Linked DNA regions of Caenorhabditis elegans. The protein of the gene in region 2 interacts with the protein of the main gene of each other region in a pairwise test. Each region holds a gene or a part of one and is shown on either strand. Other genes may lie near its edges.

Region 1 (4,458 bases), on a different chromosome or scaffold from region 2:
TAACAGTATACACCTTTGTAATCAATAACTTTCTGGCGGCTAACGAGACCATTTGATTATTATTCCAACATAGTAGAGGAAGAGAAGAGACAATATAGAGTCCCAGAATATGGATCAATATAATAGGTTTTTGAGAGTTGGTCTTTTTAAATTTGGTTTAGAAATAAGTTTCGATAAGTTTTTAAAGAATACAATTTTTAAAATCTTCATATTATTTAAAAATGTAAATCGAAAATAATGAAAGAAGAAACTGTATATATTAGAGAATCGAGTAGTAGTAGTGTTTAGAGAATTAGAGATAAAAAAATACAGTACCCCTATGAGACTCAGTGCAACCTTGCATATGCTCCCCTAAAATCATATGCAACTATTTGGTTTTTTTTAAAATCAAATTGCACAATATTTCGAATTTTCAGCCGAAAGAAAAATTCAAAAATTCTTGCAACTTTTGTTCACAATAAATTTTTTCAAAACTGATTTTGATATAATTTCGGAATAGGGACCACTTTTTACATTTGAGACAGCTCTTTTCGATTTTAAAATATTTAGAAAGGTGTATAATGTCACAAAATATAAGCGAACATCTATCATCTGTGCATATATATGCACTGGCACGGGAGACAGGAACCGAACGGCACATGTGACGAGTTCATTTTGATGTCACAAGCTTTTCCCTTTTTCGTTAAAAAAAAAGTAGACTATAAAAACAAACAAACACTGTTCTAACAAGAAAATATGCAAAAATGAACACGCAAACTGGCGAATGTTGTTCGAGTTGTAATAGGTTGCGAAATTAACCGATAAGAAGCTCGATATTCTGTTATTAATAGATTTTTTACATTAAGTATTGCCCATGATTTCTAACACCTCAAATCCCTGTTGTCTTTGAAATTTCTTGTCTGAAGTAGTTTTTATTGCCAAGGACATTGTAGAATTGATCACGTACGAAAGTTTATTGTGAAACATTGTGAAAACCGGTAAATATTACCGAAAACATGACATAAATTGGACAGTAATATTAAAATAGACCCGAACATGTATAGGATTTCTTCGTTCATCCCAGATCATTTGGAATTCTTCATCCACTCGTAGTTGTTTTGCACCATCTCAAATTGATTGTGCCTGATTGGACCCGTCTCGTCTGGATTCTCATGGATCACTTCCCATTCGATCGATGTATTTGGTGACGATGCTCCTATCGCCTCCTGGTGAACATCCTCTGTCGTCTCCTTTTTATCCTCTTGAAGATCAGACGACGCCGCCGCCGCCCCTTGTTGCTCCCATGAGAAGACTTCAGAAGAAGCCGTGGCATCCTCTGAGCCAGATCCCCACTCGAGAGCAGTCTGACTGATTTGTGTTAGAGCCTGTGTTGCTCCTTCGGCAAGTGCAGAAGCTCCTCCAACAAGGTTCGCTGCCTGTTCTGTGACTGCTGGGACGACGGTTGTGGACATGAAGGTGTAGAGTCCATTGACGATGGAGTTCATTGTTTAGTTGTAGTTTTCTGAAAAAAAATAATATATACAAAGAGACAAGTTAGACCGGCAACGGAAGGAAAAAAGAATGAAAGTGAAAGTTCGAACGGAGTAGGATTTACAACAGGATTGACTTCATAAAAATTTAAATCAAGTGCATGTATTTTATCCTAGTGTACTATCTGCCTAGATTTTTTGAATCTAGGTGTAATATTTACGGAAAAAAAAGAAAATGAAGAGACAAAGTAGATATATCTCCGATGTGCTCTTTCTACCACCAGAATGCGAATGGCAACTAATGACTAGTAACAGAATAAGAAAGACGAGAAGATGAAGAGGAACGCTGTGTTGTCCTTACGTTCTTCCTATGTCTCTTTCTCTTTTCTCGTATCGGACAATCCCTCCCCTTAGATGTGTGCGCGCGCGCTGCTTCTCTCTCTCTATTCACGTTTATGAGAGAACGAGTCATATTATAGATTGTGTATGTTGGTTAGAATGAGACGCAGGAAACCGAATGCTCCCAAACGGGTGCAGGTCATCTTTTTGTGTAGAGGTTGGTGGGTGTTCATATAGATCGGAGAAAGAATGACGAAAAATGATTGACAAGAGAATACATATTTGGATTGGCTCACACCTGTATTAATTGAAGAAGATCAGTGAGCTAGCGAGGAAATTTGAATAACTTTTAAAAATAGCAAGAAAACTTCTAAAGATTATCATTGAAGAGGAGCAATTTTCTAGACGTTTTAGTTACAGTAATCCCTGTGTTACAGCAAATCTTGTCTCCTCTTCCAAAAAACCATTACAGTAATCATAAATATTGGAATTATTTGAAATCAACCAACAAAACTTGCAATTGAAAATTGTTAGAATCTATTTAGAAAGAAATAAAAACATCAAATATATGTTTACACCATGACGAGTCACTAAAACTAATCGAGTTGTTGACTGAAAGTAATTCAAAATCATCGTTCGGCGCCGTACATTCTGCTGGGTTTTCACACGTTCCTATTACATTGATAAGAACTTGAAATGTTTCAAAACATTGTTGAAGCTCGAAAGAAAATCGATGATGTGTGTGTTGCTTCTAGGGACAGCTTTTCCTCACTCAGCTGTGAAATGCTCTTCTTCTCCTTCTCTTACTTCTTTTCTCCAACTATTTTCACATTTTTCCCCTCATGAGTTACTAGACACAAATTTTGAATAAAATTTCTCTATTTATAATATTTATATTTTCAGGCTGGAAGAGCTATTCGTCCAATCAACAAGAAGCATCTACTCGGAGAATAATTGGAAGAATTGTTAATTTTTTGTTGATTTTTTAAAAAAACTTTATTGTTGGTTTTCTCTCTTTGAAGTGTCACCTGAAATGTTCGTTGTTGTTAATTTTATATGTTTTCTTTACGGTGAAAGTTTAATTGAGACCATTTTCTCATTATTTTCTCAATTTTACATTTCCTGTAATTCTTTAAATGAAAAACAAATTTTTTAAAAAATAATTCAATTATAATCAGTTTTTTCGTTATGGTGGATATCCCCAGCAATTTATTTGAAATTTGAAAATATAATTTTTGTTGTTAAAATAATATTTTGAAAAAGTTGGCAACGAAACCCAAAGTTTTGAAATTTTGAAATAAAAATCTCAAAAAAATGTCTGCTTTTCGCTTTCGAAAGTATTTAAAATTTAATTTTTTAGGGTATTTCTCTATTTAATCATGTCTCATTAAAATCAACATTAAATATTGAACTATTCTTCATTTTTCCAGATATTTTCTAGAATTGTTTTTTTTTATTTTTAAAAACATTTTTTGTCGGTTAAAAACCACTAAAGATTTTGAAAAAAAAATTTTCCATACTTCAATTTTTTAATAAACGAAAAATTTGGTTTAAAAAAATCTGAAAACACTGCAACAACAAGTTTTTCTGACAAATTTCTCACAAGAACCTGCACCTTCACTATTTTTGAGAAAATAAACCCCAAAACGTTTTTTTTTTCGATGTTCAGTTTTAACCAAAAAAAAAAGGTTTTGATTTTTTTAAATTCGAACAAAAATTTATATTTTTCGGTTTTGAAAGAAGAAGTGAATCTCGGTGATCAGCACGGAATGGCACATGCTCTCAGAGAGATACAAGCACACAGTATTCTCATGAAAAATCGTTTGTAAAGCTGCCCCATCCACGCCCAATTCTCATCGCCAGTCAGCTTTTTCTCCACTTTTCGTTTGCTCTTTTCCGTGTGCTCACTCACTCACCCTGCGCCTCTTCTGATTCAGCGTCTGTGTCTCTTATAATTCAACACTTTTTCCACTATTTTTAATACCCCGGGCGGTTTGTGTGACCAATGCTGGCCAAAAAGTACACGTGTCTTTTGCCGTTCTTTTAAATTTGAATATGCTGCATTCAGACATTGATTTTTATGTTTTGAGAAATGTTTTACAACGTCTTACCCTTTCTAAACCCTGCAAAACGCCATTTTCCGCACTAAACTAACTGATGATGAATATGCGTTTACAACCAATCAAAAACATTCGTTTTGAAACAGACCAATCAAGAAACTCTTGAACTTTTTGTTTTCCTATAGATCGGTTGATAAGCATACTTTTTACAGCTGGAAAATCATTTAAATGTTCTTAACATTTGCCTTAAACATTTTTAAATTCCCTATAAATTCTCAAATCGAATAACAAAAATTTCAGAAATGCTGCGGTGGTTATCCCTACTTCTATTCTGTCCGGCTCTACTGAATGCTGAAGTTGTTTCATTGACATCACAAAACTTCGAGCAAACTATTCGTGAGCTGTCTTCAACTATCTATGGAAAATATGCTAATTATCATGTTTCAGAAGCAAATGAACTCGTTTTCGTGAATTTCTACGCAGATTGGTGCCGCTTCTCGCAGATGTTGAAACCCATTTTCTTGGAAGCTTCGGAAAAGTTCAAAGATGCGGCTCCGGGCAAGATTATGTGGGCTTCAGTGGATGCTGAT
Region 2 (4,906 bases):
TCTGAACCACTAAAATTAATTTACAAAAAAAAAACGCTTAGGCGCTCTTCGTGAACTTGTCGAAACGCTGCAAATACTCGAATTCGGTGTTCTTCTGCTGGCTGGCCAGCTCATTCTGCTTGGATCGGCTCCATTCGGCTCCAAAACCAGGGGTTGGAGCTGTCAATCCGAAGTTTGTGGCGACTCCTTGATTCACTTGCGCTGGCTGTGCTTTTTCTCCTCCAACAAACTCGCCAGACGAGTAGAGCACTTTCGGAGCATCGACGTTTCGGCGGCCGTCTCTGCAAAAAAAATTTGATGATTTTTTGAGAGAATTTAAATTTTTAATGGACTACTCCCTGTGGGGAAATTGCTTTAAAACATGCCTATGGGGCCACAATGACCGAATATCATGATAAAAAAATTTTAAAAATTTTTCTGGATTTTATATGATTTTTTGAAAATTGAAAAAATCTCAGTTTTCCCCCCTAATTCCTATTTGAATTTCCGCCAATTGAACTCGTTCGTTGGAGCGCGCTTGCATTATTTTCGTTAATTTTTTAAAATTTATTTTCATTATTTCACTGATTTTCTTTATTTTTTGAAGGTTTTTAATCGGAAAATGAAAGAAATAAACAAGAAAAATGCAAAATTTTTATTAAGAAGTAACTGAAAATGGCTAAAACTCTGATTAATACTAATTTCAGGCTCGTCGTCGTCGGATCGCATAATAGGCATTTTCGGCTACTTTTTAATAAGGACTGTGAATTTTCTTGCTTATTTCTTTCATTTTCCGATTAAAACCCCAAAAAAATAGAGAAAATCAGTGAAATAATGAAAATAAATTTTAAAAAATTAACGAAAATAATGCAAGCGCGCTCCAACGAACGAGTTCAATTGGCGGAAATTCAAATAGAAATTAGGGGTGAAAACTGAGAATTTTTCAATTTTCAAAAAATCATATAAAATCTAGAAAAAACTTTTAAATTTTTTTATCATGATATTCGGTCATTGTGGTACCAAAGGCGTGATTTAAAGCAATTTCCCCACAGGGTGGAATTTTTTGAACCTTGTCAAGTAATAATTATCAGCGAGCTTGTGATGAACACCTCCTGGAAGAGCCGGGAGCTCTGCGGAGCAAGGACGAGCGGATTGGGTGTTTGGGAAGCGGAGAGGGTTCTGGTAGACTGCTTTTCCGTCCGGGCCGGCGATTCCTGGTGGCGGGGTGATGGGGAGTCGGTCGGAAGCCAACAGCTTTTCTGGAAATTTCTAAATTTTCATTAATTTGTTAATATTGGAGCGCAAAAAACGGAAAAAGAAAAACTTACGCTTAAGCCAGTTCCAGAATGGCGTCTGGGTGCGATTTTGAACAGTGGCCGCCGCAATTTTGCGACCGCTCATTGTCGGTCTGGAAAATTTATATTTTTATAAACAAATTGGGAAGCTTGGCTTAGAATAAATATATATTATAAACAAAACGAGCTTTTCTCGATTTTTCCAAGAAAAAAACTGGAGAAAACTAGCAATTTAGAAGAAAAAAAACCATTTTTCTTCAAAATAGCATTTCTCAGCCAAATTTTGCTCAAATCGATTCGGATCTGGATTTTCGACTTAAAATAACTCTAATAACAAGCTTAACTGATTTTTCAACAAAATTATCCATAAAAAATCACGGAAAATCGATAAAATCTGAAAAGAAAGCGATTAAAAAGTAAATAAATAAATGACCGGTCGTCAGTTGGTGCATTTGCGCGTCACGGTGTTTGCACACAATGCATCACATTTTACGGGCAATGTGCCTATGGTAATTAATTTATATAAATAAACATGATTTTATAGTTGAAAGTCGGGCTTTTTAGAGTCAATAAAAGAATAATTTATTGTGAAAATAAGCAAAAAAGAAAAATGAATAAATCTACAAAATCACAAGTCTTGATAAGCATTAGAACGGAATGGATGTGCTGGTTCGATCACAATATTCTGACGTTCGGTATCCGAAGTTGTCTGTACCTCACGATAGATTACAGTACATGGGACAGCGTAGAAAATTGTTTGTACGATGAAGAAAACCTGAAATTAACATATATATTGCCTAAAAATCCCCCTTAAAACCCACCCCAGCAGCAATATATCCCGCAGAAGTGCCGAAAAGCGACCGATTCGCGAACGAAAACGAAAGCCAGACGGAAATCACGGAGAGGACCGCCAAAATAAAGGAATACACGAGCTCCACGACATTCCACGCGATGCTTCCATTCGAAATACTCTCCATGAGCTCATCCTGAATCCGCAGGGCGAAGATTACCGTTGCCGCCGCGGAAATCTGGAAATTCAGGGGGTTGATGGGGGTAAAAATTTAATAAAAGGATAAACTAACAATTAATTGAACAATTAGAGTAAACCAAAGAATCCCATTATCCCCGGAAGCCGTCGATCCAATGCAAACCGCCAGAATTACAGCGTTAATCTGAAAAATTGAACATGGTGCATCGGGAAATTAAAAAAATCAATAAACATACCGCTTGCAATGGCTTAAAATAGTGTGGAAGTTTGAGAAAAACGTTATCCTCATTTTCGAATATGTTTCCAAGAGTTTGCATTTTTTTTTAAATTTTGTGTTGCAAAAAAAATTCAGCGAATTCGAAATTTTATCGATTAAAACTGTAATAATACGTGCACAGTGATTCTGTCTGTTGTTGTGCTCACACACGTATCTTATCAGTAAACATTATAGTTCACATGATTTGGGGGTTATTGTGTAGTTTGTAGTGTATTATTGGTGATAGAAATACGGTTCCCGGGGTCTCGACACGACAAATTTTTGTTAGATGCGAAAAGGTGTGTGCGTCTTTAAAAAGAGTACTGTAGTTTAAAACTTTTGTTGCTGCGGACTTTTTATTGAATTTTTTTAAATTTAGGTTTTTTTTAAAGTGATATGTGATTTTTTTTTAATTTTACAGATTTTTTTCGAAGTTTTACAGATTTGTTTACAAATTTTACTGATTTTTTTTCGAAATTTTGCAGATTTTTTTTTCGAAATTTACAGATTTTTTTCGAAATTTTGCAGATTTTTTTCCAAATTTTCCAAATTTTTTTTTGGAAATTTTCCAGATTTTCTGTAAATTTTTAAGATTTTTTTTCCAAATTTTACAGATTTTTTTCCAAATTTTACAGATTTTTTCCAAATTTTACAGATTTTTTTCCTGATTTTACAGATTTTTTTCCAAATTTTACACATTTTTTTTCGAAATTTTACAGATTTTTTTTCCAAATTTTCCAAATTTTTTTTTGGAAATTTTCCAGATTTTCTGTAAATTTTTAAGATTTTTTTCCAAATTTTACAGACTTTTTTCCTGATTTTACTGATTTTTCCCAAATTTCCGGATTTTTTTGTACAATTGCAGATTTTTTTTGTAAATTTTAAATTTCTAAAAAATCGAAAAAAAAATTGGCTGAGCTAAAAAAATGTTTATTTTTTTTTGGAATTTTGAAAAAAAAAATTTCAATTTTTTGTGGTAAAAACATTTTTTCTGTTAATCTCAGTGAGCAAGAACTCATTAAAAAATTATTTGTAAAAAAATAAAATTGGCGGAAAAAAAATTTCTTTAAAAAATTTTCAAAAAAATTTTTTTTTCAGAAATTTTTTTCCAAACTTTAACCAAATTTCTCACAAAGACTGAGATTTCTGCAAAAAAGGAGGAAGAAGACGACGATAATCAACTAATTAGCGAGACGACGTCACAGTAATTTGAGTAGTTGACTGCAGAGCAGAAGCAAAACAGAGGTGGCTTAACTTATTCTCACACGTTTTTTTTCCCATCTGAAAGTGTTCATGGTGCTCCATTAGAGTGATGGCTCAGCACGTGTGTGCTCATTTCTCTTTTTCAAAATATATCCCTTTCCTTTTCAATCATCATCAACTTCCTCTTATCACTTGGCTCTCATTGAGTCAAAAATTCCCATTTTTCCCAAATGTTTCTCTCTTTTTCATGTTTTCCTGGTGTAAATGTTTAAATAAATTATATTTAAAAATAATAACGTTGCGAAAAAAAAAAATTTTTTTTTAATTTTCGAAAAAATTTTTTTAAAATTTTTTCTTAGTTAGCATTTTTTCACTTAAAAATGCAAAATTTTACCTTTTTTATTGTGTTTTATACGCATTGGGCGGTTTTTTGCTATGTGGCCGTAAAAAAAAAATAGGAAAAATCGGTGGCCGAGTTTTCTGATCGTGGCCGCGAAAATACGAAAACACGGCCACAGTGCAATTTTTAAAAATTGGCTTCTCAGAACTGTTTAAAAAAAACTAATCCTGCTTTTAGTGACCTTAAAAAGCTACAAATCTATAAACAAAAAAACTCGGCCAACAATTTTTTCCGCGGCCATGTCTCAAACTTTATTCGCAATGCACCATGTTTACGCACAATTACGCAAATTTTTTTGTGAATTTCTTAACGTGGCCTAGAAAATGGGAAAAACTCGGCCACCAATTTTTCTTTTGCGGCCTGGGACGAAAATTCCCTTCTGTAAATAGTTAGAAAATTAGAATACGGAATTAGAGAAAACATTTTGCAACTTGGCCTTGAAAATGGGAAAAACTCGGCCACCAATTTTTGAAAATACAGTTTAGTACGGTCCGTTTCACCAAGTGACCGAAAAAAAAAGAAAAATCGGCCACAAGTTTTTGCCATTTTTAATTTTGGTTACGTGGCCGAGAAAAAGAAACCTAGGCCACGCTATGAATCCCGTCCAGTACACTGGGTTTGACTATATGACCTAGAAAAGTCCAAAACTCGGCCAAAAAAAATTCGGCCACGCTGGATTTGACTACGTGGCCTAGAAGAGTCAAATACTCAGCCATCAATTTTTGAAAATGCAGTTAAGAACGGTTTATTTTACTACGTGGCCTAGAAAAAAACTCGGCTACCAA
Region 3 (8,469 bases), 7.5 Mb from region 2:
TTACCTATGTAGAAATTGCCGAATGTAATGTTCGTAAAATTGAAATCTCAGGGAATCTGGAAAGAAACATCTAACGCCACCATGACTGAGCACATGGCTGAGTACATGCTTACCAGTAATTATCAGCATTTTCAGTAAAAAAAGTTAGCATTAAAAAACCTTGGTGTTTCAATTAATCTTTGAAATAGGTTCACTTAGTAATTGGAAGAAACATTGCACACCAAAAGGGGAAAATATGAAAAAAGTGGGTGGTAGTAGACACTCTCAAATTCACACTCTATTTCATTTTTTTTATCGCCATCGCAAATCTCAACGACAAAAACGCGTTGAAGCCTTTTTTCCATTTCTCTGTCGCTTTGCTCAACGACTACATTTATTTTGTGTGTGTTGCTTTTTATGTGCCTATAGTCCTTTGGGGAAGTTGTTGGAAGCTCGCCGCCACCCAATGCCTGAAGGCTCGACGAGCTGGAACAAACCGAAAGAAAAACGGGGGAGAAGAAGAAGGAGAGAAGACCATCGTTGTTTTTAAGACTCAAGAGAAGAGGCTTCACACAAGCACACCTATATAATTGTTCAGTCATGCGTACCTCCGGCCCGCCAACTATTTATTTTTGAGAGTACTTCTACTGTGTCAGGCAGGCCTTTCACTTTTTGAGCATAAAAGGGGAGTCTATATGAAAGTGAAATGGAGGGTTGGTTTAGTATTAAAATAAGCAGCCCAATTACATGCAATGGCTATCGGCTCGTCGACGGCTCGGCGGGGATACTCTTCTATTGGGTTATTAGAGAGAAGTTTTTTTATACGAGAGATAGACATTCGGAGAACTATTGAAGAAATCAAATTTAAAAGGAACTGCTTCGAGAAACTCTAATTATTTCCGGTCACTTCGAAAGCGCTTGTATGAGGGAAAAATTGGCTCACATTTGGATCTTGTTTCGGAATTGAAAATTTCATAACGAATCCTTCAATTTTTCATGGCATGTAACATCAAAAAAATTTAACAAGTGGTTTTATAGTCTCTAAAATTTTCGCATTTTTATGCCACACTCGTGTTCATCAAAACAATTAAGCATAGTTTCAGAAAAGGATTACTATTCAAGTATTAAAATTCAACATTTGTATTTTGCTAAATTCTTATGTTATTTACAGAAATATCTAACTTAATTCCGAAAAGAAAACAGCAAATGGTTGTCATTATATAATTATTTAAATTTTTTACAAAGGGTTTAAGATTTTTCAGAACACAAATTTATCGTCAGAGGAAAAAGCTTTCTTTCCCCAAAAATGTTCAAAACAACTCAAACAAAAATATGTATCAATTGAAAACATAACTTGCAACATTTTTGGAAAGCTTCAGATCAATCTTAACAACAAATACTACAATTTGAAGGATATATAAGAAAAGGGACCACCAAAGAGACCAAATGGAAAGAAAGGACAAATGGGAAAAGGTTTCATGGCTTTGGAAGAGGAGAAAGAGTGCCCAGACATACGAATTCGCGCACGCATGGACCGACGGCTCCGGATGTCAGAAGTAGAGAGCACGAGACGCAGACAAGAGTTACGAAATATTGGGGAGACAGTGCGTGAGAGGAAGAGACGCAGAGTGAGTTGCTATGGGAGACCCCGAGGACCTCATTTGTTTTTTCAAATTCCTGCGAAGGTCGGATGTGGAAAATTTTAGTTTGATTGGATTGTTTTTCGAGAAATTCGAGACACTTGATCTTCCACTTTTTCTTCATCAAAAGAGGTCATATTTCATTTTATTGCATTTGTTGAGGGTGGAAATTGTTCCTGCAGATGACTATTATCTACATCATTCAAAAAATGACAAAGTTACGTAATCGGGAAATGTGTGATTGACAGAGTTACGCTGAGATTTGAATAGAAGAAGTGGTAAACATCAAAGCAAAACCTCTTAAGTTTTAATTGGATATAGGTCTCGAATATGTATTGTGTGGTTTTTCAGAAGATTTTTTTTTTAAATTGTTGTATTTTCCAATTCAATTGATTTTAAATTTTAATTTTCTGATTTTTGTGTTAAACTCGGCGCAACTTACTATTATTAAAATTTCTCAGAAGACGATTTAAATTGTATATATATATAAATAGCTTTTGTGTGGCCATTATTTTGAAACTCCATTTGAAAAAAATAATGTGAATAATTTTTCTAACCTATAATTACTGAATGTCAAATACCCATCGAAGATATCAATCTGATTTTGAAACATTATTTTTAAACTTTTCATTCAATCACGACTAACTATTAAAACATGAGTCGAATAACACATACACCGATCATCAAACACCATATTTCTCTCTCGCAACTTGAGCCAATATGAGCATGAACCGATGACAGATGGCCCTGCCATTTAGGATAACATCGTGAAGCGTCAAAGCATAAATGTGCTCTCAAATGGATAATCGGTGATGACTGAAGTGTGTATGTGAGACAGAAACATGGAAAGATGGAAATAAATGAATAATATTCTAATAATCTCATATTTTCACTATTTATCTTGCTTCGCAATGTTCATCATGGTAGCTCACCTCTTGGTTGTTTCTGGGGACCAACTGGGAGAACAGTTACAAATATATTTTAGATTTTTACTGTTTGCCAATTGGTTAGGTTGATGCTGTTATGGGAGACGCCACCATCGTCGCCTTCCGATTTTTGAAAGCTGATTCCCGAAACTGTAGCCTCCTTTTCGATCTGATTGTGAGTTATGAGTTCTTCAATCGATTCTCGAAGTTAGAATTTATTTTTAACCACGAGAAATCAATGAGATTTACAACAAGAATACAGCAAACATTTTATTGACTTAATCGTATTCAAAGGGCAATACATTTTTATTCGAGCTCATTCCTTCGTTGATTCATTTCGGATTGACATCTTTTTCTTTTTCGTTGACAGAAGCTGCCTGTAACTATTTTTATTTTTTATTTTGAATATCAACAAATCACTCACATCTTCATAACTGGGACCTCCTACTTTCTGAATCGATGGAGCATCATGAAGTGTATCATCACTTTTATCATTGATTTTTCCTGGTTTCAGAGCATTACGATGGCGTGCAGTTGGAGTTCGAGCAACTGGTTTTGGCGATTTGGCCTTCACAACATGATTGTCTGGATGAAGTTCTGGTTCAGTGTCAGTCAATGGTTTTTCAGTCAATAATTCATTCGCGTAAATCGATCCTTTTCGAATTGGCTTATGAACCGATGGCATTTTCTTCTCTGAAACGGTAACTAATTATTTCATACTTGTTTTTTAATTCTTACCATCTTTAATATGTTCCGAAACTAGCGGTGGTCCCTGAGCTACAGATCTTTCCGTTTTTTTGGTTGTGGCCACCACCTTCTTTTCCTTCTTTGGAGTAGGAGCTGTAGGCACGGTGGAGTTTGAGATCTTGGGAGATGGCTCAATATTTGACATCGCCTCAGCCTTGTCTCTAAAAATATTAAGATTTGTTGAGCGCTCACATTTCAGATAACTCACTCGTTCAAAGAAGCTTGTTCGAAAGCTGTCACTTTCACTGGTTGCTTATCTTCCACAGCTTTTTTCACCTAAAAACATTATTTTTGAATCTCAAATCATAATAGCTACTTACGGCTGCAGGCTTGGCTCTCTCGCTGGGCTTTTTGGAGAAAGCAGAACATTTGACGATGATTGTGCTAATTAAAACCAAATGAGCTGTTAGAGATAACATTCTGTAATTGCCAAGTGTATTTCTTAAGAAAACAAGAAAATTTAACTCACATACGAAACTATCAAAAGTGACTTCGTAATTTTACAAAATGATGGCTTTTCTGGATTTGTTCCCTTCACGTGTAGAAAGAAACGAGCAAAAAAAATCTTAGTGTTAGCTTTTTAGTTTTCACGGTGAATATGGATATTTTTAATGCTCAAAAAAAAAATATTGAACATGGTTTCAACTTTAACATTGTTAATAGAATCAGATTGATTAAATAAATCTTAGCATAAAAAAACCAATGGGCATACCTTCCTTGGACTTTTTTTTAACAAACGATCTTGTTTACTAATCATATTCTATTTCCCATCATTCTAGAATCAGCAAAAAAAAGTGTGAAACCTGGTGTTTTTAGTCTCCCAAACATCCAGCCTCCAAGTCATCTATCTCCACCTTCTTCTCCTCATTTCAAATTCCTTTTCAATCTCGTTGTTTGTAAATGCAAATTGGGGCCAACAATACAATAGGTGTAAAATGGCATCAGAAGTAGTAGCAGGGGAGGGCAGTCATTCTCTTCTTCTCTGCCCCTTTCACAGCCTTCAATCAGTTTCAGTTTGTATCGTCCATCATTTTCGAGAATACGAGGTGACCAAGGTCAATTCCTTCGGTCCGCCTTGTTTCGTTACATGGTTTCATAGCGAATACTTTTCATAAAAGTGACCAAACCGCTCTTCTACATTTTTTTCTCGCTTCTTCGTCCAACTGAAAGTGATTTCTTTCAATTTATACTACTTTCATCTTATTTAGTACAGATACTAGTATAACTTTTTCCTTTCAATTTCATTTCGCTCATAAAATTGGCTGACTTTTCAGTTATAGTTTTGAATCGTTTCAATGCTTTGACTTCAGTCCAAATTAACTGATTAAAAGATTCAAATTTTTTTAAAGTAAAATTCTTTCTATTTTACAATTGAAGTTATTTTAGAATTTCATTTTTCTGAGTCAATTTTTTTGCATCTGAAATCTAAATTTGAAAATTTTGAAACTATAGAATATTATGTAGTTTTTCTAAAACTGTTATCTTATTTTCTAGGTTTTCAATTTTGCTGTTACATATTAAAAGTATTAAAATTTAAAGTTGAACATTTTCAGCATCAAGAATGAAATCAACACTTCTAATACTACTGTTATCAATCAAACAAGGTACGTATCTTCATATAATTTTCCTCCCGAATCACTATTGTCTTCACTCTGACATCACTTTTAAGACAACAACAGTCACGTTATACACTTAATGATGCTTTTCCTTGTTAATCTCTGAAACCACCCACACCTTCCCAATTTGAGAGTGACAAGAAATTCATTTGTTTGAAAGTATAAACGAGGTTGTAATGAGTCAGGCACTCTTTGAACAATGGAATAAAGAATTCAAAAAGGAGGCAAAAATGTTGTATGTGTGTAATGAATAGATGACCGTAACAGAGGACAAAACACATGATCAGAAAAGGGGGTAAACGGGTGAAGCAGACAGTTTGGCGGGTGGGTCTCATATGATGGCTAATGGGGAGTGTGTGTGTATTTTAAAAATCATTGAAACAAGATCTTCTGAAGCTTTCTGAAGCTTCTGAAGCACAAGGAAAATCACCAAATTTTTGAGAAATGCTGCATTTTTTTTTGAGAAATGCTGCATATTCAGAAACTTACAACGTTCGAATTAGGATCGCAAAAAATTAAAATCGAAATTATTTGCAAATTTTCTTTGATCGGCTTCCAAAATCATGTGTGGTCAAAAGTAATAGAAATCAATTTCCACTTTTTGACTCTATCTGTAAAGGAAAAATTTCAGTTTTTTTTAAATATTTTTCAATACGGTATTCATCCATTTTATCACCCTATAAGTAAAATTATGGTTTTTCAGCTTTAAACTAAAGAGTTAGATCAATAATACAAAAATTTACTATTGAAATTAACTATTGACCTCACTATAATTCACTCGTATTATTCAATTTTACAGGCTCTTCTCAAATAAATCTCGGATCATTCTTTCTCCATCCTCAGCAGAACAATGGCGGCTTCGACATGGGAATGGGACAAGGAGCAAATATTTTAGGATTTGGAGGTGATCGTAGCTTTAATTTAGCTGGTAACAGAGCTGGATTTGCTTTGGGATGTGAGTATTAACACTTTTAACAACAAAATTGCAAAACTCTAAAGACTAAGAACTCTTCGTGTACAGATTTAATAACGTAGGCCTGGCTGCATGCCCAATCGGTAAATTGTTATATGTTGAATAGCTCCTACTGCTCGAAAGATGACCGAGTCATTACAGTTTTCTTTTGAAAATGTGTTGATTACTGGCTTACTATTAGATTCAAACCAAGGTTTTGAAGACTTCCCATTACTTTATATGCGAAGTTATTTTTAAGTTGTACCCAACTTTTATTTTTATAATTGATTTAGCATGTATTAATTATTAAAAATTTAACAATCTTACTATTAGTTAGATATAATTATTTTTTTTATTTATAATTATAACATTTTTTAACAGTATGGACTTCTCAATCTAACTTTCTTTTCATTAATAATTTTCATTTAAATTTACTGTATTTTGCCTTTGATGTAATATTCAATAATTTCCTTTTTCAGCTAATAATGGAGCTCTTGTCGGCGGACAACGTGTTGGAGTTGATGGGGGAATTGGTGGAGGACGTGAAGGTGTTGAAATGGGAAGTCAGGTGCAATTTGGAAATGAGCCAAATCCTGGTCATCCAGCCGGACAGTTTGGAAGTTTTATGGATAATGTCAAAAACTTTTTCTCATTTTTGGGTAAGTTTGACTATAGGAATTTTCTGGAAAGCAGAAGCTAATCGTTCAAAAGGAAAATCATCTGTTCATAAAGTTATCTTGATCAAGCATCAATGTCTTTGTTTTCCATTTCAAGTTTAACACGTACATCATATGAACTTTGAACATCTATAATTCTTCTTTCTCTGGAACTTTTTCTATCTTAAATAAAAAATTACAGGTCGTGGAATGCCAATGCCCCCTCAACAACCACCTCCATCACCTCCATTCTCATTGGGAGTCACTCGTCCACCAACTTTAATTGGTACTGAAAGATCTGAAAGTGAAAATGGAGGAAGACATAGACGTATGTGATTATATATTTATTGAAACAGTGGGGATTTGTTAAAACAGGAGCTCTATGTTTTTTAAATTTGTTTCACATTCCTTTCACACAATTTTCTTTCAGCTCGCCCATGGTTCCCAGAAGGTGAACAAATTCCAGAAGTAACTGGAGAAATGAGGCCAAAAGAAGGAGAAGCTGGAATTTCTTCATCATCCTCTTCCTCTTCTGAAACTGAATTCATTGGGCCAAACAATGGAGAAATCCCCAGAAAATCTGTCGAGTTCAGTATCGATAAAGAGCCAAGAGAGGAGTTCACTGAGGATTTATTCACGGCACAAACAAGTCGACCACGAGAGTTGCCAGGGCTTATAGAGTTTGCCTAGATTATCTTAATTCTCCCATCTTTATATATTTTCTCAAACATTCCCTTACATAGATTTTCATGACCTTTCTACGGGTTTTGTAAATATTTAAATAGTTCTTGATCTTTTACGCTGCCCTTTTTGAATAATTTAAGTTGAATTGTCAAAAAAATTGCAGAATCACAGCTTTATGAATAAATCTTTATGACCAGCAACAAAAATACGCAGTGAACTATGAAATGGTATTGTTACGCAGAAAGAATCACATCTTATGTGACGTCATGCTTACACTTGAAATTTACATATTTATAAGAATTTAGTCACAATTGTGAAAAAAACCGATGACCCGTTGATCATTTGGAATTACAAATCACAGTTAAAACAATTGAATTACATACATAGAATTGAAACTATTAAACTAAAATCTTTGCAATCAGAGAAAAGGTTTGATGCATCTTTTGTTGATGTTCGCTTTTATGAGTGAATGACTTTTTTACAGCTCTTCGAAGCTCCGGATTGCACAGCTGAAATGAAAAAAAGTATGAGTTGATTTTGTGTTACAGTTTATATCTCTAAAGAAACATCTGAAAACATTTGCAACGTCCCGTTTCAGCCAGTAAATTTGAGGATTGTTACAATAAAATTTCGAACTGACAAATTCAAATTTATAATCACTTACCATATATATTGGGAGTCGAAGTGCACAAGCAGTCACTACCAGAACTGAAGAAAGATCAGCGGATAACATGTACTCTTCCAAGAACCTGAAATGTTTTTATAAATTTGAATAGTATTTTCCAGTACTACCGTGTTTGCAATGACTCAATATCAATGAATTCCCAAGCGGTGATGAACACATTCACTACGTTTGATATCAAATAAATGACACAAATGAATAGCATTGTGGCTGTCGCCTGACGTACGTTTGTCTGAAATATTTCTTTGGAAATTAATCAAATCTGATGTTTTCTGTGATGACATACCCGACTCTGCATTCTCAATGAAAATCTTCTTCTTGATCTATTCCCAAAAGCGTGTTGCATTTGAGATCGAAGCTCCAGGACAATTCCAAGATTTATTAATAAGAGAAGGGCAAATGGAAGAAACACAGTGGCAATGTTTCGAATCCAAAACTTGTAAATTGTACCATACCAAACAGATTTTGTAATATCTGTTACATCTACATAATACTCCATTACTGTATTTTTGCATGAAGGATCTTCATTTGGAAACACATCAAGCTCTATGAGCATTCCACCTTTTGTTAGTACTCCAAGGGAAAGG

The links.
Region 1: the proteins of drr-1 (region 2) and F27C1.4 interact in a two-hybrid assay, tested with the Caenorhabditis elegans proteins (one large-scale study listed by BioGRID).
Region 3: the proteins of drr-1 (region 2) and B0034.1 interact in a two-hybrid assay, tested with the Caenorhabditis elegans proteins (one large-scale study listed by BioGRID).

What each region holds. Positions count from the first base shown.
Region 1 is NC_003279.8:5,419,812-5,424,269, reverse strand, and holds F27C1.4 (uncharacterized protein), read right to left. Parts: upstream 1,485-4,458; coding exon 1,065-1,484; downstream 1-1,064. Other genes in the region: utp-14 (Small-subunit processome), read left to right, coding at 2,712-2,762; erp-44.1 (Thioredoxin domain-containing protein), read left to right, coding at 3,578-3,629, 4,169-4,264, 4,316-4,458.
Region 2 is NC_003280.10:13,493,214-13,498,119, forward strand, and holds drr-1 (MARVEL domain-containing protein), read right to left. Parts: upstream 2,688-4,906; 5' UTR 2,580-2,687; coding exon 2,499-2,579; intron 2,447-2,498; coding exon 2,357-2,446; intron 2,303-2,356; coding exon 2,096-2,302; intron 2,050-2,095; coding exon 1,903-2,049; 3' UTR 1,833-1,902; downstream 1-1,832. Other genes in the region: ndua-7 (NADH dehydrogenase [ubiquinone] 1 alpha subcomplex subunit 7), read right to left, coding at 38-281, 1,049-1,238, 1,308-1,380.
Region 3 is NC_003280.10:5,965,258-5,973,726, forward strand, and holds B0034.1 (Glycine rich superfamily member), read left to right. Parts: upstream 1-3,238; 5' UTR 3,239-3,246; intron 3,247-3,283; coding exon of another isoform or gene 3,284-3,453; intron 3,454-3,500; coding exon of another isoform or gene 3,501-3,568; intron 3,569-3,612; coding exon of another isoform or gene 3,613-3,711; exon of another isoform or gene 3,712-3,712; intron 3,713-3,761; exon of another isoform or gene 3,762-4,274; intron 4,275-4,845; 5' UTR 4,846-4,853; coding exon 4,854-4,896; intron 4,897-5,707; coding exon 5,708-5,863; intron 5,864-6,339; coding exon 6,340-6,519; intron 6,520-6,718; coding exon 6,719-6,844; intron 6,845-6,946; coding exon 6,947-7,206; 3' UTR 7,207-7,405; downstream 7,406-8,469. Other genes in the region: B0034.4 (uncharacterized protein), read right to left, coding at 2,878-2,922, 2,970-3,238, 3,284-3,453, 3,501-3,568, 3,613-3,711; B0034.5 (G-protein coupled receptors family 1 profile domain-containing protein), read right to left, coding at 7,599-7,709, 7,865-7,949, 7,993-8,114, 8,169-8,469.